Linked DNA regions of Arabidopsis thaliana. The main gene of each other region encodes a partner of the protein of the gene in region 3 in a complex. Each region holds a gene or a part of one and is shown on either strand. Other genes may lie near its edges.

Region 1 (4,752 bases), on a different chromosome or scaffold from region 3:
ACATTCCAGATCACATACCTCTACAAGTGACATATCTATTTTCTCTCCTATCCCGTTTCTGTGGAGGCTCATGGATAGCAAATATCTCGGAGAACTGTAAGATAACCATACCATCTTCCACATACAACGTAGGCAGTGGGGTGGCGCCTTTGTCATCCAATGTACCTTCCAATAACTCATCCACCTCCTCCTGAATGTTTTGATGAGATCACTAACATAACAAAATCATCCCACAGCAAAAATATGTTATTTGAGACACAATTTCCCTTTATTTTGAGGGGAAACTGACCTCCTGGACATCTTCGGTGTCCATATGATCCTCTTTATCCAAGATGCTAGCCTCCTCTTCATACTCCAAGGCCTTGTCTTCCTTTAAGACAACTGCAACGCAATTTTTTTTGTCTTGTTAAGTTTATATTCTCAAGGACTTAAATCACACTAGACTACAGCTTTGCAAGTAATCATTTGCCTGAGCTCAACAAGTATAATTACAGGAAGAATGACTTAACAAAACCAATTTGAGTGATGAGATAACACAACAAAAGTACACTTTACTATGGGATAATTGTTTTGTTCAAGAAACGGAAATTTCGAAATGCAAACCTGGTTCCCTCTTTTCAGTTTCAAGAGATTTTTCAACTGGCGCTTGCTCCTCCTCTTGTTCTTCTTCCTCGTCATAATCTTCATCATCAAACACAGAAGCTCTGGACTTTAAACTACCCAAAGCAACTGCAGTCGAAAAATACTCCTTTTTTGGCAGTAGATGATCTTCCTCACTGACTACTTGAACTTCGGGCCCATCGTACTCTTCATCAATATCCTCATAATCAACAGCATCCTCAGCTTTTCTATCATAATCTACACAACATATCACCACAGTCAATGACGCTGATGACCAGGATTTGGTAGTGTAAATAGTGTCAGTATGTAAATGCTACGGGCAGGAATGTTGCATATTTAAAGATTGTAAACGTGAGTAGTTAAAATGTTTATGCATATAAATTACGCAAGACACTTTCTTAAACAATCCAATAATAATTGGATTATGACTACAACGAAAGTAAGAAGAGTGCAAGACCATTGTGATGGAAACATTCACTGGGAGAAAAACTTTCTAGCAGGTTTCCTAGAAGCTACTCCAGTATGGTTTAAAGAAACGGTAGAATGAAAACTAGAAGTTAAATGAACAATAAAAACTGCATAAGATAGACGACCCTGGCAGACAACATCACCTTGCTCAGCTGGATCACTTGCTGTACGTTCTGATTTTGCCAATAACTGTTGAGTTTAGAAACACCATTATTGGCATCCCAGTACAAGAAAAAGAGGATTAAAAACCACATAAAAGACTCGCAGTTCACTCGTCTATAAACTTTAGAAGATAAAATATTAAAGAGTGTGTAGAACGTTACATTTATATCTGGTAGAGATGAACCCAGCTTATCTGCCAATGCAGAAAGATGTTCTTTGGCGTCCTGAAAAGTTTAAATGTTAGCATTGGCACAGGTATGCTTGGTGGAGAATTTGCAACTCATAGTTAATAAAATACATATATCCTAAGTCCAGAGAGAATAGACAGAAAAACTGAGACCGATAATGAAAATAATGTGTTCAACAAGGTCATCATACTGAAAGCGTAAAACAGATTACCTCATCAAGGTAATCAGCGTCCAAGTCCCCAGAGTTATCAACATTTCCAAAGATGAATCCAAGGTTAAAACCCCTGCTGTTGTCCTCATATTCATCATCGTCATCTGCAGCAGACATGTAAAATATTGGTGTTCACCAAACAAATCTTGGCAGACATGTAAAATATTGGTGTAAAATGGGAATGCATGTGATAACTGATTATCATCACGAGTATTCAGAAATCACAAAGATTGCATGTTAACACTCTTGTTAAACTGCTAAATCCAAGGTCACATAATCATTGGATTCCTCTCCATCATCTTATCAGGCTACAGTAGCCTCCATCTAGTGAAACTACTATTCCCATTCTCTTCGTCATCTAAGATCCTACAAACTCAATTCCCTCTAGAAATTTAGAAAAAATAATCTTAACTATACCCTAGAACATGTCCAGGATCACTCAAGACTGCTCCTTTTCTACTTAAAGAAATCCAAAATATTCAAAACCGTAAATCGGTCATGAGCTAGCCTAAATGCACCAAACACTAGCTAGACAGGGACATCTCTAGTTTCACAAACTGTAGTAATCCAAAATTCCACAACCTAATATTTCCAATCTCTTTGTCAATTAAGATCCTACAAACCAATACTCAGAATCACTCAAGGCTGTTCCTTTTCTACTTAAAGAGACTTAATCCGAAATATTCAAAACCGTAGAACAATCATAAGCTAGACAGGGGCATCTCCAGTTTCAGAAATCATGTCGACAATGGACTGGACCGGAAAAAAGAAAAGCAACAAACTTTGATAAAGAAAGCAACATATATATACCTGAGGAAGTCTCGTTGTGGGAACCCTTGCCATTGGATTCAGCCATATTCAAAGATTTAACTACAATGGTGACAATCGGGAGACGACAAGGCAATTGTCCTTCCCAAATCCCCAACCATTAAAACTCAATCAAAACCTTCAAAAGAAACAAAAAAAACTACACAATTACAAGCCAACCTAAACGGACCTGGAAACAAAAAAAGCTAACTTCTTTATCTGAAACTTCATCAAAAGAGTCTCAATTTGGCTTTAAAATCACAACCAAATCGAAACCCCATTGATCAATTTTCGAGTTAAGCTGAGTTGCAATCAAAGCATTGGATAAAATTGAAGAAGACGATACGATACCATTCACTGATACGAGATTGTTGGATTGGAGGGTTCTTTCTTGAAACCCTAATTGAGGGTACAAGTAAGCTTCGCCGGAAAGGTAAACCAGCTCAATCGGACGAGACGGTACGATGTCGGAGAGAAGTTCCGAGGTAAGCAAACTCTCAAATCGGAGGAAAAAAAAAAGTAATAACAAAAAAAAGAAGAAAATTGCGAAGCGACCAAGACAAGATTGTGAGGGCATTTATAAAAGTTTTATAACCCGACCCGAATAAAGTTTGAGTCCGGGTCTAATTTCTTAACCAGGAAAAATCAATTTCGTTGTTTGGTATGGAGGTGGTTAAGCAGAAATAGAGTCGGTTCTGAAGTAATTTTTGTTGTTGTTTAATCAGTGGTAATTTTACGAATTTAATAGATATATACCTATGATATTTCTTTAAAATATCTTTCTACCAAAATTGCAAAAGAAAATTGAATTTTAAAAGTATTATAAAAACATAACTGTTATAGTTCTACATTTAAATTTTCAATTTTTAATAATATTTTAATCACTTTAATTTTATTTTTTCGATCGACTAACATTCTAATATCCAAATTTAAGGCACACAAGTTTAATTGATAGTTTTATTTTTTTCATCGAATAACATCGGATGTGAAACTCTTTATTGCATACCTTGTACATATATAAAAATCAATAACATGTTGATTTTAATTATATAAAAAAATTTAATATTAAATAAAACCAGATTGAATAAAAATGGATATTAAGAAAATATATAGGTTCTTTTATTTTATGGACCACTGCGTCGGTAACTATGACGAAGTAAAACGGCAGTAGCCGTTAAAAAAAATAAAGTAAAATGATCCATATAGACAGATCGGAGATGTCGCTGAAAAAATAGAAGTGTCGTTGGAAAAAATAGAGATATTGATCTAACAACGTAGGAGTCGTGAAAAATATAGCGGCCTAAATGAACATAATCCAGCTTTTCTTCCATTGTCAGTTTTGAACAACCAGCAACGAATTTTATAATAAATTATGCCATTTATTTCTCATTTCGTTCTTTAATTTTTAGTCATCAAATTTAATCGCAACGACCAATACAAGAAGAACATGGTATAATCATACCAAATCATTGATTCAATATTACCTTATTAGATTTTATAAAATTCATTATCCATTCAACAATTGTACCTCAACATTTTCAAATGTACCTCAACAAGCAATTTTTTCTTTATTTAGTTTAACCTAAACAAGGAATTTATTTTTATTTTTACCATAACCATCATGAACTTTGTTGACTTGTTAAATGTCTCTATCTCCTTCTAACGAAATTATCAAAATCAATTTCTGTTCCTTATACTCCAACCAAATAGTGGTCCTGATTCTAAATCCTAGTTCTAAAATTAAGCCTTGTATTTTCTCTTTTTTATTAACGTAAAATCAAACAAAACAAATATCTCAAATATTTTGTTAAGAAAAAAGAATTCTTTATTCAACGAAAAATATGGATTAAAAAGAACACCAAAGCCACGTGCATTGTCACTTCCCAACTTTAGAAAAATTGTATTTATATAAACAAGTTTTATCTAATTAGCAGTTTTATGTTATTTTGTCTTTAATCTCACTTCACCGTCTCTCTTTCACTCAATCTCCGTGATTCATTTTTTCTCCGACGTTGCTTAATCCTCGAAATCTCCGGCGATGGGTGGTTGCGTCTCCTCCAACCTCCTTACTCCGACCGATGACAGCAGCTTCTCTCACCTCACCAGCTCCTCCTTAAGCCAACATTTCGTCAAGCTAACTTCCACCACTTACGGTCTTCTCAATCTCGACTCTTCTTCACCTTCTCCTCCGTCTCCTTCCTCCTCCTCCTCCGCCAAATCCGTTATCACGCCAATGACTCCGCCTGAGAGATTCACTATCAACGGTAAGGAGGCGGCGATGATGATGGTTAAGTC
Region 2 (4,707 bases), on a different chromosome or scaffold from region 3:
AGACTTCTTCCAACACAGGTGAATTTGATGATCTTTTGGATAACAACATCTTCAGAGATCCATCTGACACTGTGGACGAGATTGAGCTGACATATCAGAGTGAGATGAACTCTTCACTGCTGGACACCAATGGTTCAATCAAGTCCCAACCGAACCAAAAGCGTCTGGAGATCGAGGAGCTTACTCTTCAGACACCAACAAACGGAACCACATTGGTTCACAACTTATCTGCAGATGTATATGACAAGGATCACCTACTGGTTAGTTCACTTTGACTACTTGTGTTTAAAGCATGTGACTGGTAGATTGGAAGTTACTTAAAAATGCCATTTAACAGATAATGGGTCCTAGTGGGAGTGGAAAAACTTCGCTGCTAAGAGCAATGGCTGGTCTTTGGAGGTCAGGGAAAGGAAAAATCACGTTCTACCTCGATCCTGAGGTAGATTTTACACAGGAGAAATCTGATACTCAGGAAAATTCAGGGAAAAGAGGAGACGTATTGTTCCTTCCACAAAGGCCTTATATGGTTCTGGGATCTTTGCGTCAGCAATTGCTTTATCCTACCTGGAGTGCAACTGTGGAGGAGACGACACCTGGTGGCAGTAATATTGACGGTACTCAGTTTAAATTTGTGTCTAGTAACAACCATTTCTTTCAACTCCATTTAAGTTTATGCAAGCAGATTATAGAACCCAAAAGCAAATCGACTGAAGAAAAAATGCGTTGATTTTGTTAGGTTCACCACCTCTGCTGATTAGAGAGGACGGAAATGAAAAGCCGACAACAGATGATCTGATGCGGACTCTAGAGAAGGTTTGTCTTGGACATATAGCGGATCGCTTTGGTGGTCTTGATTCGATACACGAGTGGTCCAGTGTTCTCTCACTTGGTGAGCAGCAGCGCCTTGCCTTTGCACGGTTATTGCTGTCTCAGCCAAAGCTGGCGCTCCTGGATGAATCCACCAGTGCGTTGGATGAAGCTAATGAGGTACTTGTTGGTTCTCCTCTCATCTATCATTTAGAATAATATCATGTACATGTAGCGTTGAGCCATTAAAATTCCTCTTGATGCCCAGGCGTTCCTGTACCAGCAAATCCAGTCGGCTGGCATTACATATATAAGCATTGGCCACCGCCGGACTTTAACGAAATTCCATAACAAGATCTTACAAATCTCAACGGCAGACCCGAAGAGCAATGAACGTAACTGGCGAATAGAGGACGTGGATGCCCAAGATTCTTTGTACGGTAGATTGAATCAAAAGGAGGTGCCAAGTGAAAGCTGATCAAAACCTGATTGATTACATAAGAGACAGAAGCAGCAGGTAAATCTGCAAACGGGTGTCATGAAACATATAAGAAACATGTTTGGTGTCCATTTTGTATATAATCTACCAGACTTGACGTTGACTGAAGATGCAAGTAAATAGAGAGATTGATACAGATACGAGTGCAACGAAGTTCTGATTAAAAATAACACGCGAGATGAGCTAAAAATTCAAAACCGGCTGAGTATTTATCATAAGCCCAATAAATCTAACGATGGGCCCATTTGAGAAAGCCTGATAGAGTGAGAAAATGTAACACGACTGACTCGACTCAGTCGCTCAAAGTCGAAAAAGAAAGAAGGCGCAAGGAGGATGGTGACGAAAGAATCCATTGAAGTGATAGCTCAGAGCATTGGACTCTCCACTCTTTCTCCGGACGTCTCAGCCGCTCTTGCTCCCGATGTCGAGTATCGCGTCCGAGAGGTCATGCAGGTATATCATCAACTTCAACTTTACTTTTGCCCTCTAATCTCCTCTTTAACTTGTCGTCGCAATCTCCAGGAAGCTATCAAATGCATGCGTCATGCTCGACGCACCACTTTAATGGCTCATGATGTCGATTCTGCTCTTCATTTCAGGAATTTGGAGGTTTCCTCTTCCTCTCTTCTTCTTTTATTTCATACCGTTGACCCTGATTTTGACTTTTTTTTGTATAGCCTACCTCTGGCTCCAAAAGTATGCGGTTCAAGAGAGCTCCTGAGAACAGAGATCTATACTTCTTCGATGACAAAGATGTCGAGCTCAAGAATGTAAGCTTCATTGATTGGCCATGAATGAAGAAGATGGTGAAATGTTGTTTATTGTTATTAAGCTTCCCTTCATGGTCTCTTGTGCAGGTTATCGAAGCTCCTCTACCAAATGCACCTCCTGATGCATCTGTTTTCTCATTGGTTGGCAATTGATGGTATTCAACCTTCCATTCCACAGAATTCTCCTCTCCAAGGTATTTCTTTTGTCTTCTTTTGCATCACCTACTACTTCTCCTTCTAATCCCTCTTCCATGACAATTTGTAGCCATATCTGACCTTAAACGATCGGAATATAAGGACGATGGCTTGGCTGCTAGACAGGTGCTTTCTAAGGACCTTCAGGTTATTTTACTCCCTTCTTTTTTTGGGTCTTTACCTCGCTCTTTGAATGCTATATAATCCTTGCTTGCTCTCGATGCAGATTTACTTTGACAAAGTCACGGAGTGGGCTTTGACTCAATCTGGCTCCACCCTCTTTAGACAAGCACTCGCCAGCTTGGAAATTGATCCTGGACTCCACCCATTAGTTCCCTTTTTCACTTCTTTCATCGCTGAAGAGGTTTGTCTTTGTAATCCAACACTTCTAGTCTTGACTTTTATTCTAACTTGACCACATTTTCACTACTTTTTTTGTGCTTGCAATTTCTCCAGATTGTCAAAAACATGGATAATTATCCAATCTTGTTGGCTTTGATGCGTCTTGCTAGAAGCCTCCTTCATAACCCTCATGTACATATTGAGCCATATGTAAGTTTTGTGCGCACACTTTTTTTTTGTTTTTTTTTGTTTCTCTTCTCCCTTCTCCTCCTTCTGTTGACTTTTAACTTGTTGTATTCTGTTCAGCTGCATCAGTTGATGCCGTCTATTATCACTTGCCTTATTGCCAAGCGCTTAGGAAGAAGGTCATCTGATAATCACTGGGACTTGAGAAACTTCACTGCCAGCACAGTTGCTTCAACGTGCAAAAGGTTAATGTTACATTCTTGCTTTGTGATTTCATGCATCTTATACAACCATATAACTTGCAATCACATTAGTGAACTTTTTACAGGTTTGGACACGTTTATCACAATTTGTTGCCACGTGTCACAAGATCACTGCTTCATACCTTTTTGGACCCAACCAAGGCACTCCCACAACACTATGGGGCAATTCAAGGGATGGTAGCCCTTGGGCTTAATATGGTACTTCCTCTTGATGCTTCTTGATTATCATAACGAAGAGTAGCACTTTAGGTTGTGCGTCTAGAATTTTTACATAAGAAAGCATAAGTTTAAAACTAATAGTAGCATGATCCGACATCCTCGATAAAGTTATTAAACCTGCAATTGAACCTTAAGATATATATCCTTTGGTCGTCCGTAAGTATTTTCTTGCTTTATACCTTTGTCTAGGTTCGCTTTCTTGTTCTCCCAAACCTAGGGCCGTATTTGCTGCTTCTTTTACCTGAAATGGGACTTGAGAAGCAGAAGGAAGAAGCTAAGAGGCATGGGGCTTGGCTTGTTTATGGAGCGTTGATGGTGAGTATGCTTTCTAGTTTGATACAGAAATTAGAAAACTTGTTTGCTTTCAATCTCGTGTTGCAAAACAGGCAGGAGAGCATATAAACTTTAACTTTCCATAGGTGGCAGCTGGTCGATGCCTATATGAACGGCTTAAAACATCTGAGACACTGCTGTCTCCTCCAACTAGCTCTGTCTGGAAGACAAATGGAAAGCTCACCAGCCCCAGGCAAAGTATAAAATCTGGTCTCATTCTTTTTTTTTCTTTTGGCGTTCTAAACACGGAGATACGCGTTCTTAAATAATTTTTTTCTTCGGCCAAGGTAAACGCAAAGCAAGCAGTGACAACTTAACTCATCAACCACCACTGAAGAAGATAGCAGTAGGGGGAATTATACAAATGAGCTCCACACAAATGCAGATGCGCGGAACCACAACAGTCCCTCAACAGTCCCACACAGATGCAGATGCACGGCACCACAATAGTCCCTCAACAATTGCTCCGAAGACTTCAGCTGCTGCAGGCACTGACGTCGACAACTATCTCTTTCCTCTTTTTGAGTATTTTGGTGAGAGCATGCTTATGTTCACCCCCACACATGAGCTCAGTTTCTTCTTGTAATAGATTATTGACATGGTAATTGTATGTACCACAATAAATACATCTATATAATATTTCGAAATGTCTTGGAAATCGTCAACTTTATAGTGGGCATTTTGCGAGAGGTAAAATCAACCAGTGTTAATCTTACATAGACATATGTGTACTCTAATTATAGCTTGGCCTGGACCACAAATACACATCTTTTCCATGCTACTCCCCATCTCCATCTCCATCTCCACTATTAGTTGTGAAGAACGGAGTCAGAAAGTTTTTGTCCAACGCGGTGAATGATGTAGTGCTGCAAAGTTTTGTCAAGTGAGTCCCAAAAAATTGCAAATATCGCTTTTTACTCAGGAAAACATACTAAGCCATTCTCTTATTCTTACGTTTTGTGAAACTCCTTCAGCTTCATCTTGAACCTGCTTCCTGATGATGATGTATCCTCGTCAGATGAAGCTCCAATGCTAAAAGGAGGAGGGACATACTGATGATCGCTCTCTTCAAAGCCCTAACCACGTATCTGGG
Region 3 (7,526 bases):
AAAGTAATGAGAAAACTGACCGGGAGAGATCTCATATAAGAAGATAACGAGTACCACATTCCCACATATAATTCCAAATGTAGACAATTGTCTAGTCACACAACCAAATCTACTTTTGGTAGATTTTATGTCTCATCCAAAATTTTGATGCAAATGTCTTTCAAAACATGTTTTTTTCTTTCTTTTCTTCTTCAGCTCTCAATTTTATTTTATTTTTGTCGTCAGCTCTCTATTTATTTAAGTACCGTCTCTAGAAATTAGGAGAATTAAATGTTTTCACAAAATAAAAAATATGTTAGTATCTGAAAAGTTTCTAAAAAATATGTTCTCTAAGAAAAAACATAATTCACAACATACCACATAACCACCCACCCTGTCTTAAGAAAGATTTCTCTCGACACACGATGTCTTTTTGGGGAGATTCATTACATGTTTCTATTTTATTAACGTTATAAATTTTGAGAATATTTGGTTGTTGTTCTTTGCCTTATTCATTTCGAGTAGGTTTTGATTCATGATAGAGGTGACATGCTTAAACTAGGGTGTTTATTAGAAGGAAGAATGTGGCTTTGACATGCTTAAAGTAAATCTGCTCCAAGTCGAAGATAAGTGATTCCTGGATTGGGACACATGGCATACATAAGCAGGAGTAGTTGTTCATTAAAAGAATCTTCAACATTTTTGGGATTTAGAAATGAGAAACAAAAGCCACAAGCAAATAATCTTTGGAGATAACTATTCTACACCTGATTTCTTCTGAGATCTACAACAGCTTGTAAGAATGTTAAAGCATCAATATCTGATACCATTGTTTTGATCAGTTTGCGGGTTTAGAGATCGCTCCTGCAGCAAACAACAAATTTCTCCGAGAAAACTGCATCAATGTAAAACATGAGTTTTAGTGTATGCCTCGATCAACGAATCCTAGGTGTTAGAGGAAAGGTTCTATATGATACTGATGGATAAAATCTGTTTGGCACACACCCTGAAACTTTGGTTCTAATCAAGTGTTTGGTCACTCATTATCGGGATGTGTTGATCACAAGCACAACATGATAAACTTAGGGATGAGAGAAATACCACGGTGTTTAGAGAATGGTGGAATTAATTCTAGTAAAGAAAGCATAACTTACCCGGAGAGCGTGAACTGGTGTGGACTTGGTGGGGAAAGTCCTGAGTGAGCGCAATCTGTTCGAGTTTCCATTCCTGATCAATCACAAATGATAAATCGTTTTTAACAAAACAATCTACCATTCAAAGGGAACAACAATACAACTTGAAAGAGCAAACTCACTTTTCCTCGGCCTTTGTCAATTTGGTACTTGAAGTGACGTCCCACAGTTTCACTGTGCAGTCTGCGGATCCAGAAGCCAGAAGAGAGCCCTCCCCGCTGAAACAGGAAAACAGGTTAGTCATAAATTGTAGTAGTTCTATGATTTATCAAAGTGGAGTTTACGGTTCCAATATTCCAAGCAAGTGGATTTTACCAACCAAAACCAGTCATTCCATTAACGACCCAACACATTAGGCCTATACAACATTCCACAACCCATGACAAGAACCCTATGTTAGAGCTAACACAAGAGTGCGTGGATATAGAAAAATCTACCAGTTCAGTAGTAAGTCACTGTAGAATTAATAGAAATAGCCACACCATACCACTCTATATCATAACCCTGAACTACCCTTTAAAAAATGTTGTCCTAGAAGAAATTCCAGAGATGATAAAGCATATCAACCAAAACCAATAGTTGGCTGAAAAAAGGATCATATTACGTTTTCATTGTGTATTACTAACTCAATAAAAGTTGAATGATCAAATAAAGCTATTTTCTTCTTCTCTTGACACCTCACCTGTATGAGAGACTCCAGACACATGAATTATGGCCCATGAGAGGAGTGATGCAGCGAGCAGTTGAGAGGTCCCACATCATTATAGTGCCATCTTCATCACCGGAAGCCATATATCTCCCATCTGGAGACATCGCCAATGATAAAACCATACTCCTGTGCCCAATGAATATCCGGACACATTCTCCAGTTTGCACATCCCAGAGTCTAACCGTCTTATCACTACTACCGGTAGCAATGTAGTTACAATTGGGATGCCACTGTACACACTGAAATCAAATGCATTTGACAAGTACAACGAAAGTCGCATCAATAGGTATCCAAAGAAAAATTGAAGTTACTGATCTGACTTAATGTCAATCCAAATAGTTAAGTAATCCATCGTAACCTTATGACTTTAAGCGTATTGGCTAACAATCTTTGGATCAACTATAAACTGGACGATTCTTAAATTATGAATGTCAGGGTCACGTTAAAATAACAAGTGGGTACTAATCTAAGTCAATAAACAATGTAAAATGTTAGATAAACCATTGTAAACATTGATACGGTGAATTAATGACTTCAATTGCATAATAAAACGTTTTAAGAAATTTATCCATGCATTTAATTAACAACTCAATTGGTCCCTTCGATTTAACCTTTGCAAATTAAACCCAAACAATGAAGATGAGGGAGACACTCACATCAACATCAGATAGATGCCCTGCCATTATCCGAAGAGGTTGTATTCGGTCCATTGACCAAATCCGTGCAGTACGATCATGAGAACAGCTTGCAAAGTAATGACCGAAAGGGCTAAACTGCACCATAAAATGAGTATATAATATATATACATGTCCAGCCACCATAAATTGCAGGTTATGTAAGAAACATGGGTTAAATTGAATTAACTATACCTGGGCATCCCATACAGGGTAATTATGACCCTTGTAGCACACGAGATTAGCATTTAGTTTTGTGCTCCACAGTCGTACTGCACTTATGAATACAGGGTTGGTAACTAAAAAAGTCTGAACTAATGAGCCAGTGTATGGATTTGTAAAGTGATGGACAGATACATACTTGTTGTATCTGCTGAAGAAGATAGAACAAAATCTCCAGGGGGACTGAAAGTGGCTGAGTAAACTGGCCCTGAATGACCCAGTAATAATGTATAACTTCTTCTGCCATTTGGTCCTATGCTTTGATCACTTGAATCATTTTCAGCCTGCAAAGCACCTGGAACCAGACAGCTTAGTGTCTATAACTCTCATGGAAACAAAAACAATCATTATGAGAAATCAACAAAAATGACAAGCGAAACGTATGAGATAAATATCATTCTTAAACGTGGATGTCAATACAATTTTTCAGAGAATTAACATACCACTGCCAGCTTGTCCTATCTTAGCCATGTCCCAGACCTGAACACCATAATTGTCACTTGGCATCATTTAAGAGAGGAAGAAAACAAAAAAAGGGAAATGTATCCAACCATCCGAGAATAACATACCTTTATTGAAGAATCTGAGAACCCACCAGCAACCAGAGATCCATCATGAGATATAGATGAACAGTTTAACCTGGGGGAGAATAAAAGAGTGAGTAACAAGGTTGCAAATAAGTAGTTAAAATTAGGAGGAGAGGTGGACATTACCCGTTATGAGTATTCACAAATGTATAAAAGCTGACTGATGGCATTGCAACACTACTCAACTGCACACGGTTTCTAAGGTCTTCAAGGATGGATTGCTCTACATCTGTGGACCTGACAGAGAAAACAAGGAGATGGAGCAAAATTGATTTATGTTAAAGGAGGTTGAGTCTTTGACAAATACAAAGACTATGTTCATTTCTCCTAAACAATCATGCATCACCCATAGATATCACATGTTCATTCCTTTTTAATCAAATCCCAACACAAAAAATGGGTAAGGGATTCGAAAGTACATTACTGGCAAGGCAAGTTCTGGTTTTACACGCGGCGCCGGTGACACCGTAATGGTCTCCAGACGTGCAACTTTTGCTGTTGCATTACCCGCTTTGTCCTTCTTCAACTTTTTTAAGGAAGAGCCTTGCTTTCCAATTTCAGTGGATCTTTTCTGTACACAGAATCAATTGACGAGTAAAAACGGGATTTCAGTTCAGAAATTATTGACTAAGTTGAAGCTATGTATCACCTTACTATCATCTGCATCCCCGTCTTTACTTTCTCCTTGTCCCTTCTCAGAATCAGACAGCAGACCTCCTGTCTTCTCAAGGCGATCTTCTAGTGAATCTTCAAGCAACTGTAAAAGAAAAATGCATATGTAGCTATTAACTACGCAAATATGTTATCATCCCTGGGATGAGGCATCAACATGTTATAACTCTGGAAAAATAGAAGAGAAAAGAAACTTTAGGGGAAATACGTACTCCCCACTGTATTTCTTTTTGATTAATGTGATTAGCAGTGTCCTGAAAACTCCCGACAATGGTGACAGCTTCTATGTCATCGGATGAGGAAGTAGGCTGTCCCGAGTAGACTGCAACAAATTATCCATGACCAATTGATTCAATTTTCTACTCAAAAAACTGCTACAAGCTATCGCATATATAAGAGAAAGAAACACATTTACCTTGGAAATTGATGTGCTCGTTAATAATACCAAGCATTAAAGTCGATACTGTACTATGTAGATACTGAAGTAACAGCTCATATGAATACTGCAACATTCAGTAAGCATATTAGAGGTCTGCAGTCACGGAATTCAGTTAATCAGACCAGAAACCTCGAAGCAGTTGCCTATTACAGCTACTAGTCAATTTTCACTCAAGTCTACCTGACAAAACTTGATGTTAACCTTGCTTTTTCTAAGAGAACGAGCAAACTCCATCTCCTGATAAGAACCAAGATCATAAGAAAGATAATAACCAAAAAAAAAAAAAAAAAAATCCATTATCAATATTATATGACCATATAAGGTTTATCATAAACCTCTAGATGAGATGGAGAAAGCACGCCTTCAAGCTTCTGAAGATCCCGTAAGTGTACCATCTCATGATCTTTGCGGAAGCTGTTAAAGAAGGCTCTAGCTGGAATACAAGAGACGTATTATTTCCCACAGTAGCATAAGTCACTGTTTCCAAAAATCTTATACCGAAGGTAAAAAAAATACTCAGTACATCTAATTTGCTATATTGACAAGTACCTTCTTGAGTGTGCCCTTTCCCCACCAGATCCATGTAACAATGAATAAACACAGGATACATCACTCGAAGCAATTCATGCTACAAAATTAGAATCATCTCGTCAGTTCAATTAAGCCTGTCTCTACCCAAAACAGCCAAGGGATACACAAAAAAAAATCCCCACCTTATATAAATCCAGAGAATTATACGCCCATGACCTTAGTTTGCTGTAACCTTCACGGTACCGAGTTGGATCATCTTCTTGTCTGCAAACAAAAGAACAGACATTTCATTACCATTAGCTCTCTCTACATAAGCCATACAAAAAAACCTAATTTCTTGCCACTGAGATGTCATCAAAATCTTAAATTTGACAGATAAACTGATAGAAATATTCACATAAACTTCACCCAGAAAGTGAATTATATTCATTTTTAGATTCTCAAAAACGTTGGAGCTTACATAATTTTTCCTTACGGTTTTCAAAATTCACAAAAGACACTAAAACTTTCCCAAAAATTCAAAACACAATTCGCATTAAGAATTGAAACGAGAGAGAGAGATAGGGAGAGAGATTACTGAGAAAAGGAGCGAATGAGCTTCGTGAGCTCAGGATCGTTATGATAATCGACAGAAGTGAAGGAGCTACCATTATTGTTCTGGTGATGATAAGATTCAAGGTCTTTAGCAGCGCTACTGAATCCTTTCTTCTTCAAGTAGCCCACGACGAACTCGTTGATTTGCTCTGGATCCATTGTTGTCTCTCTCTCTCTCTCTCGATTCAATTTCCTCTCCTAGAAACTTGTATCTCGTCGCTGAAACATCTTCAGTTTTTTAGATTCCGTGTCTCTACAAAACTGGGCCTGTTTCAATGGCCTAATTGTGGCCCAAATATAATAATTTCAAAGTTATGATTAAAACCAGGCCCGTCTATGGGGGTGGCAGGTTGGGCAAATGCCCAGATTCAAAATTTACTAAGAGTTTTTGAATTATAAGCCCATGACCTTACTTTGATGTAAAATCTCATAACCATTTTCTTTTTAAATTACTTGCTTTGGATTCTCTATTTCAACTTAAAGATTGGGACAAGATACCAATATTTATTGTTTGAGTAATTAATTCTTACAGAATTATTGAAAATTATCCAAAAAAATGTTATCTTCTCAAAATTTCTAACTTTTATTTAAAAAAAAAAATAACTTTCCAAAACACCCAGTTTAAAAATATTTAAACAATAATTCTTAAATCAAATGTTACAATGGTTAAACTAAACACTTGCAACAATTTATTGTATATAAGACAAGGTCAGTTATTTCCTCCCACAATGGTTAACTCGTTTTCTAAAAATATATTATAAAATTTTGGATATCAAATAATCAAGAAAAATTCTTTCAAATGCCCTTTTCATGATGCCCCTTTTCAACTCTACCCTTTTGTTTTATCCATTTTTATTTATATTCTCTTTAAATTTTTAATTACCATTTTACCCTTATTTGGAAATTGTTTTAGGTTAACAAAATGAAATATTAATATTTTTTCGCCTAAAATATTCTAAAATAAATTTCCCGCCAAAATTTTCCCGCCAAACCTTTTCGAAAAAAATTCCCACCAAAAATTTTTGAAAAACATTTCCCGCCAAATTTTGTTTTCAAAAATATTTTTCCCGTCAATTTTTTTTTTTGGCGGGAAATAGATTTACAAGGAATTTTAAAAGAGTTTTAAAAGATTTACAAGGCAATTTAAAGGGGTTTTATAAGATTTACAAGGGATTTTAAAAGGGTAATTTACAAGGGATTTTAAAAGGTTTTTAAAAGATTTACAAGGGATTTTTAAAAGGGTTTTAAAAGATTTACAAGAGATTTTAAAGGGATTTAAAAGATTTACAAAGGTCTTTTAAAGATTTTTAAAGGGTTTAAAATTGTTTTAAAAGGATTTTAAAATATTTACAAGGGATTTTAAAAGGGTTTTACAATATTTACAAGGGATTTTAAAGGGTTTTAAAATATTTACATAGGATTTGTAAAGATTTTTAAAGGGTTTAAAAGTGTTTTGAAAGATTTACAAGGGATTTTAAAACCTTTTAAAATTACTTGTAAATCTTTTAAAACTCTTTTAAAATCTCTTGTAAATCTTTTAAAACTCTTTTAAAATCTCTTGTAAATTTTTTAAAACTTTTTAAAAATCTCTTGTAAATCTTTTAAAATCCTTTTAAAATCCCTTGTAAATCTATTTGGCGCTAAAAAATATTTACAAGGATTTTTAAAATATTTTTTTTGGCTGAGGAAAAATTTTTTACGAAAAAAAAATTTGGCGGGAAATTTTTTTGTTGGCGGGAATTTTTTTTTTTGGTTGGAAAAAAGTTTGGCGGAAACTTTTTTTTGGCGGGAAAAAAAATATTTTGGCGCCAAAAAATTGGCGGGAAAATTTCAGTTTCCAATTACATGTTTTTATTAGATGAGGGTAATTTGGTCATTTTGTTCAAGGGGAGAGATATTTTTAAAAATGGACAACATGAAAGGGTA
Region 4 (5,152 bases), on a different chromosome or scaffold from region 3:
CTAAGTCATGCGAGAAGAAATTGGACAGAGACTTTACATATTACAGACAAAAAGTCGGCATATAGAATCATTCCAGACAACGTTTATGGTCCTGTATACATATAAGGAGAATGTGCTCAGAAACCACAAGTACCTATGTCATATAAAAAACTTGAAACTTACCTTAACTTTTCAGCCTCAAAACATTTAAAACAAAACCGACTCTGAAAGAAAGACAGAAACAGAGAGAGACAGAGAGAGTGTGTACGAGGTGACACTCGAAACCGGGAAGTAGTGGCTGGAAGAAATGCGGATTGGTCGGAGACTGAAGTGGAGGATTCACCATTTCAAACAATTCAGGAGGAAAAAAACTCAAGAATCTTCAACTTTCTTTGTGATGAAAAAACCAATGTGTTCTTGTCTTCAATGTAGCGTTGTAAAAGCTGACGAAAGGTTACTAGATTTTTCAGATTGTTGTCTTCTTTCATGTATTTCTAGGTAAAGAATATTCGGACATGAGAAAGTGAAAAAACAAAACAGAACAGCTTTTTTCAATTGCTAAATTCCAAAAAGTAACTTTATTATTGAGATGCCGCGGTTACAAAGGGGGATTGTCTAAAGGTATACAACAGAGTGTGGCAATGTTTCAAGTTAGATCAGAAGCACTTAGGTTCATCATTGCTAGATGGAAAATATACTTTGTGGTTTTTCAATCCTACAGTATCCAGTTAATCACAAGGATGGATACTTATCTTATTTTCACGACTTGGAGACTTGCAAGAATGGTGGATAAGTGATGTAGAACCCCAAAAATCACCAGAGAACAAACAACAAACGAATATACATGTAATGTAGTAATTGAGGACTAGCAAGACAAGTGAGTTTTGTTTTTAACTGAAACACAACAGAGAATCAGGGATCTGAGACACATGACCGTCCTTACTAGGCAAAGATTTTGAGGAATTCCTGGTTTCTATTCGTCCCTTGTTGCAGGGTCCATTCCAGTCGAAGGGCTATCAGCAAAATATTCTGGATGCTTCACGTTCACACCATACTGCCAAACCGAGTTTACTCACGAGTTAGCTTCCCACTACTAGTTAAGACGAGACTGTAAAACCTTACCTATCTACCTACACTACTGCAATACACAATATTATAACCACTAACTCTAAAACATGTTTCTAAGCATTTTATGTTGATTCTGTGATACTGAATTAGTTTCATGCCATGTGTATTTAGAGTAATTTGCAGCTTAAGTAAAAAAAAACAAGAGACATCTACATTTTCTTCTCATACATTGGAGGTCTGAGGGACAACAATACCAGAAGCATGAACTTAGAGGAAGAAGCATTTACCTCACGCAAAGCTTTTGAAAGATCTTCCATTGTCAATACCAAACGCTTATCCTGTTAAGGAAACATTAATATTCATGTCATCATCCAAAACATATTTGTTGCAGTCTTGCAGAGGGAAAAAAAACAAAAGGGAGTCAGATGTTACCTTTTGCTGTTTTTTGTCTTTCACAACTGGTGCTGGTCTAGCCTTGCAATGCCTGTATATAATTGACAATTTTTATTATTCAGGAGCTTATATCAATGCTTTTAGCTTCTGGGAAAATCTAGCGTAGACATCTTTTCATCTCATCTACTCAGAATGGGCAGTGTCTTCTCTTTCTCAATTACAAGTCAAATATGAAAAAGGGTATGATAATTCGTTGTGAAGAGAATGAAAACTTACTGAAGGGCGTCACTGGCAACATCTGCAACAAACTTTTGTGTAGCCACAGCAACTAGCCTTATCCTGTCAAACAAGTAAACAAAAAAACAGAATATTGGCAAGAATAGATACAGGAAAAGATTATGACAGGAGTGAAAAACTCAAAAACTAAAATATACCAATATTCAGCACTCAATTTGATAGAAAGAGAAGAATCCCCTCATTATTCTACGCATTCAAACTGAACTCTGAAGTTTACATTCAAATTGCCAATCTTTTTCAGTGCTAGTCCAACATAGACTTCTTTATCATACCATTTTACAGGAATGTTAAACAGGGCAAAACCTTAATCCAAAATGATTTAAACCAAGCCATTGATCTAACTACTGGTCACCCATTCTAAGACCCAACAATGATTCCATTCAATATCAACTTATCTGCTCTTTCATTGTAAGTATCAGATATAACTTGTCGGAAATACCTACAATCGTACGTCGGGGCACTGAAATCCACTCTTAGCCAAGTAGTGCTCCACTAAATCATCAGGAATCTGAAAGAAAAATAAAAATCCAGAACTCAATCAATACCCAAATTTCAGTCATGTAGAGCCGAGAAAAAGTTGTAACTAGTACAAAGGAAAGTATACAGTAGGAGTATAATCCATCAGAGAAGCAAGGAACTCTGTAAGAGCAGCATCATCTTCATGCTTTGCCTCACCAGATTGTTGGCCGTGATTCATCTCTCCCACCACCAGAGTACTGAAGCGAAGCAACAACTGTAAGTAAAGAAAGGTTTTCAAAATCAAACATTAATAAAGAACCTCTGAACTAGTATCTACCTCAAATTAGAAACTTGTACGAAACCTAAGAAAGAATGTCATGACTCATGACACAATTATACCAAAATAAGTTTTACGAGAATTTTGACTACTGAAACTTTCCAGCTCAATTTACTAATTCTCTGTTCCAGATTTGTCTTCTCGTATGACATTATTGTTTCTAAGTAACGAACTATTCCTGATTTGTGTTGCAAAAGACCACACCAAGTTTTGAATTGAACGACGTGAAGTAAACTAAGAGGGCTCTGATTCATCAAGAAACAGCATTCATGAGCAAAATTCGATACCACCCAAGAGAAAATTCAACCGAAAAAAAGACAAAATTGAGCTGAAATTGAAACCAGAGACATAGAGGAAAAATTCAATAAAGTAAGCGATAATGCGAACCTAAACGAAGCAGCAACGGAAGAGAATTGAGCTGAGACGAGGCAAATCAATGGTAAAGAAGAGAAGTTTCGACGGATTTCGGGCGGGTAGAAGAAAGGATCGGAGATCGACTAGTGAGTCTCCGTTGAAACCCTAATCCTCCGACTGGTCCAACTCAGAGCCATCTCCGCCGGTCAGATTTTTAAGAGTTGAGAAAGAATCGTTAGATAGACTAATGGGCCTATTGATTTAAACTATGGCCCAAACTTAAGGAAGTATTCTTCACATATGGCCCAAATTTAGGTTTTTTTTTTTCCTTTTTCACAATCCATTTTTTATTCTCTTCCCATAAAATCAATATTTGAGTTTAGTGTATCTAAGAATATCGAAACGAAATTGTCAATCAATAAAATCTCAAAAATGTAACTTTAGTGTATAGTGTTGTACAATCTGCTGTATAGTGAGCTTTAATTTGATGGGAGACAAAGAATATGACAATGAAAGCACTAACTCCATCTAGACGGAATATTTAATGACCAACAAAAGCAGTTTTTGTTTTTCTCATTTGTCAACTCATAGTCATTAGAAAAAGACTTAAGGGTAGTTTTATATATTCTACGAGAAGCAGGTGGTAAATTCAGTGAAGAAGGATTGGACTAATTCTCTCCATAAAAACATAAAAGAGAGATATGTATATGATGATACTTTATTTCACGGGATTCCATTTGTTTGTTTGTTTTTGGTTAATGGTGGATTCCATTTGTAGGTAAATTAATGGATAAATACCAGATAAATAAATCCATATTTTCTCAAATATGCTTCTTAGACGCTACGTATTATGTATTTACATTTAAATCATTTTCCAAAAGCTTTTTTTTTTTTGTATAAAACCAAAATAAGAGACAGTTTATTCAAGAAGCTAGTTTACCTAGTTATATCAAAGGGGCCAATCAGAATCTAATGTAAACTATATCCAAGTCTCATTGTCATGGAAAAAGGTTTGATTTAATTTGACGATTTTTAAAAAACGGTTGTTCAATCGCGGCATAGGAATATTTTTGGCTATAGGCTAGGACAAGCTATATGGATTGATTTGAACTTTCTCTTTAATTCTTTTCATCAAATTATGGAATATTATATTAAAACCTAGATATTTTAAAGAAAAAGAAAAATTGTATGCAAAAATTTAATTTACTTTTGGAATACGGATTCTAAATTTTTTTGTTGTTTAAAATAGTAAAGAAAAATAAAATATATCAATGAAATCAGGAAGAGGCAAAACATGGTGGCCAATCAAATCGGTTTACTTCAGGCGATCGACGAGCATTTCTAACGAAGCAATGTTCATGTGATCTCAATGGAATATCGACTGTTGTCAATGTGATCGTAACCATACTTTTAAGTTCTGCACTGTATTCTAATTTCTACACAACTATGTTATCTCAATTTTTAACTACTTCCTTCATTATTTACCTCCAGCAAGTGAAAATTAAAAGACCGATAGACAAACAAAAATACATAATCTAGTAAAACAAGTACTAAAAATCTAACATGGTAGAAGAGAAATTGTGTATGTAGGTTCTTTGCAAATAAATCGTGTGTATACTGTATAGACTGATAGACTATTCCTTGTTTGGGGAAAAATGGCTATACACTTATAATATTTTAGAAGTGTCACAAAATAGAAAACTATTTTAAAAAGTAACTTTCTTGGATCGAAAAAATAATAATATGATATATGGTAGGGAAATTTTTACTAATTTTATTAAATTTAATAGGAAGTATCATAAGCACCCATATAGATATGCATAAGTTTGAAACAGAAAATTTGTAGGTACGGTTAGTCGGCTATAAGAGTGGCTTCAATTTGCTTGATGGATTTTTTGTTTTGATAAAATGGTTTGTAGATGGACTTTATTAATTTCAAACATACATTACACTAGTTAAGATAACACCACTTAATCAAGTAATATTTGTATAATTGTAGTTAACTGAAAGTCGTGACTCATGTGTTGTTGTAGGGTTGATTACTACTTTGGCTTTAGATTTCCTCTTTTTTAATCGTACTTTAGAAAATTTGTGGTGCATAATTAAGAAAATTTGTAGTGCATAGTTCCTTATCTAGAAGAAGAGAAGTTTGTACGTCACCAAACACCCCCCAAAAACTCAAGTTGCGAATATGTTCGTTTGCTTAATTAAATATATGTTTTCTCCCATCCAATTTAATATCATATTTTTGTCGCTAATCTTCAA

The links.
Region 1: TAF5 (region 3) and HAF01 share a complex: the UniProt entries of both Arabidopsis thaliana proteins name them as parts of the TFIID complex.
Region 2: TAF5 (region 3) and TAF6B share a complex: the UniProt entries of both Arabidopsis thaliana proteins name them as parts of the TFIID complex.
Region 4: TAF5 (region 3) and TAFII15 share a complex: the UniProt entries of both Arabidopsis thaliana proteins name them as parts of the TFIID complex.

Annotation. Positions count from the first base shown.
Region 1 is NC_003070.9:11,853,756-11,858,507, forward strand, and holds the start of HAF01 (HAC13 protein (HAC13)), read right to left. Parts: upstream 3,011-4,752; 5' UTR 2,809-3,010; intron 2,597-2,808; 5' UTR 2,507-2,596; coding exon 2,461-2,506; intron 1,755-2,460; coding exon 1,651-1,754; intron 1,476-1,650; coding exon 1,413-1,475; intron 1,279-1,412; coding exon 1,233-1,278; intron 859-1,232; coding exon 604-858; intron 382-603; coding exon 290-381; intron 191-289; coding exon 19-190; intron 1-18. Other genes in the region: AT1G32760 (Glutaredoxin family protein), read left to right, coding at 4,496-4,752. UniProt on the Arabidopsis thaliana protein: TAFs are components of the transcription factor IID (TFIID) complex that is essential for mediating regulation of RNA polymerase transcription. Core scaffold of the TFIID complex.
Region 2 is NC_003070.9:20,288,961-20,293,667, forward strand, and holds TAF6B (TBP-ASSOCIATED FACTOR 6B), read left to right. Parts: upstream 1-1,639; coding exon 1,640-1,759; coding exon of another isoform or gene 1,760-1,828; coding exon 1,829-2,076; intron 2,077-2,163; coding exon 2,164-2,270; intron 2,271-2,341; coding exon 2,342-2,418; intron 2,419-2,497; coding exon 2,498-2,635; intron 2,636-2,727; coding exon 2,728-2,823; intron 2,824-2,919; coding exon 2,920-3,044; intron 3,045-3,127; coding exon 3,128-3,260; intron 3,261-3,470; coding exon 3,471-3,596; intron 3,597-3,700; coding exon 3,701-3,812; intron 3,813-3,901; coding exon 3,902-4,200; downstream 4,201-4,707. Other genes in the region: ABCD2 (ABC transporter family protein), read left to right, coding at 19-260, 338-614, 737-987, 1,076-1,285; NHX5 (sodium hydrogen exchanger 5), read right to left, coding at 4,393-4,480, 4,569-4,690. UniProt on the Arabidopsis thaliana protein: TAFs are components of the transcription factor IID (TFIID) complex that is essential for mediating regulation of RNA polymerase transcription. Not redundant with TAF6.
Region 3 is NC_003076.8:8,675,350-8,682,875, reverse strand, and holds TAF5 (TBP-associated factor 5), read right to left. Parts: upstream 5,828-7,526; 5' UTR 5,760-5,827; coding exon 5,584-5,759; intron 5,271-5,583; coding exon 5,189-5,270; intron 5,104-5,188; coding exon 5,025-5,103; intron 4,909-5,024; coding exon 4,811-4,908; intron 4,713-4,810; coding exon 4,656-4,712; intron 4,540-4,655; coding exon 4,452-4,539; intron 4,359-4,451; coding exon 4,249-4,358; intron 4,122-4,248; coding exon 4,014-4,121; intron 3,936-4,013; coding exon 3,784-3,935; intron 3,602-3,783; coding exon 3,491-3,601; intron 3,417-3,490; coding exon 3,347-3,416; intron 3,258-3,346; coding exon 3,221-3,257; intron 3,073-3,220; coding exon 2,917-3,072; intron 2,828-2,916; coding exon 2,751-2,827; intron 2,655-2,750; coding exon 2,538-2,654; intron 2,121-2,537; coding exon 1,855-2,120; intron 1,391-1,854; coding exon 1,295-1,390; intron 1,207-1,294; coding exon 1,134-1,206; coding exon of another isoform or gene 1,089-1,133; exon of another isoform or gene 875-1,088; coding exon 818-874; and 2 more. UniProt on the Arabidopsis thaliana protein: TAFs are components of the transcription factor IID (TFIID) complex that is essential for mediating regulation of RNA polymerase transcription.
Region 4 is NC_003075.7:15,353,271-15,358,422, forward strand, and holds TAFII15 (TBP-associated factor II 15), read right to left. Parts: upstream 3,162-5,152; 5' UTR 2,921-3,161; intron 2,901-2,920; exon of another isoform or gene 2,534-2,900; intron 2,471-2,533; exon of another isoform or gene 2,454-2,470; 5' UTR 2,435-2,453; coding exon 2,342-2,434; intron 2,246-2,341; coding exon 2,181-2,245; intron 1,780-2,180; coding exon 1,717-1,779; intron 1,532-1,716; coding exon 1,480-1,531; intron 1,386-1,479; coding exon 1,335-1,385; intron 1,034-1,334; coding exon 953-1,033; 3' UTR 777-952; coding exon of another isoform or gene 701-776; 3' UTR 650-700; coding exon of another isoform or gene 569-649; 3' UTR 526-568; downstream 1-525. Other genes in the region: AT4G31715 (uncharacterized protein), read left to right, coding at 389-432, 569-649, 701-776. UniProt on the Arabidopsis thaliana protein: TAFs are components of the transcription factor IID (TFIID) complex that is essential for mediating regulation of RNA polymerase transcription.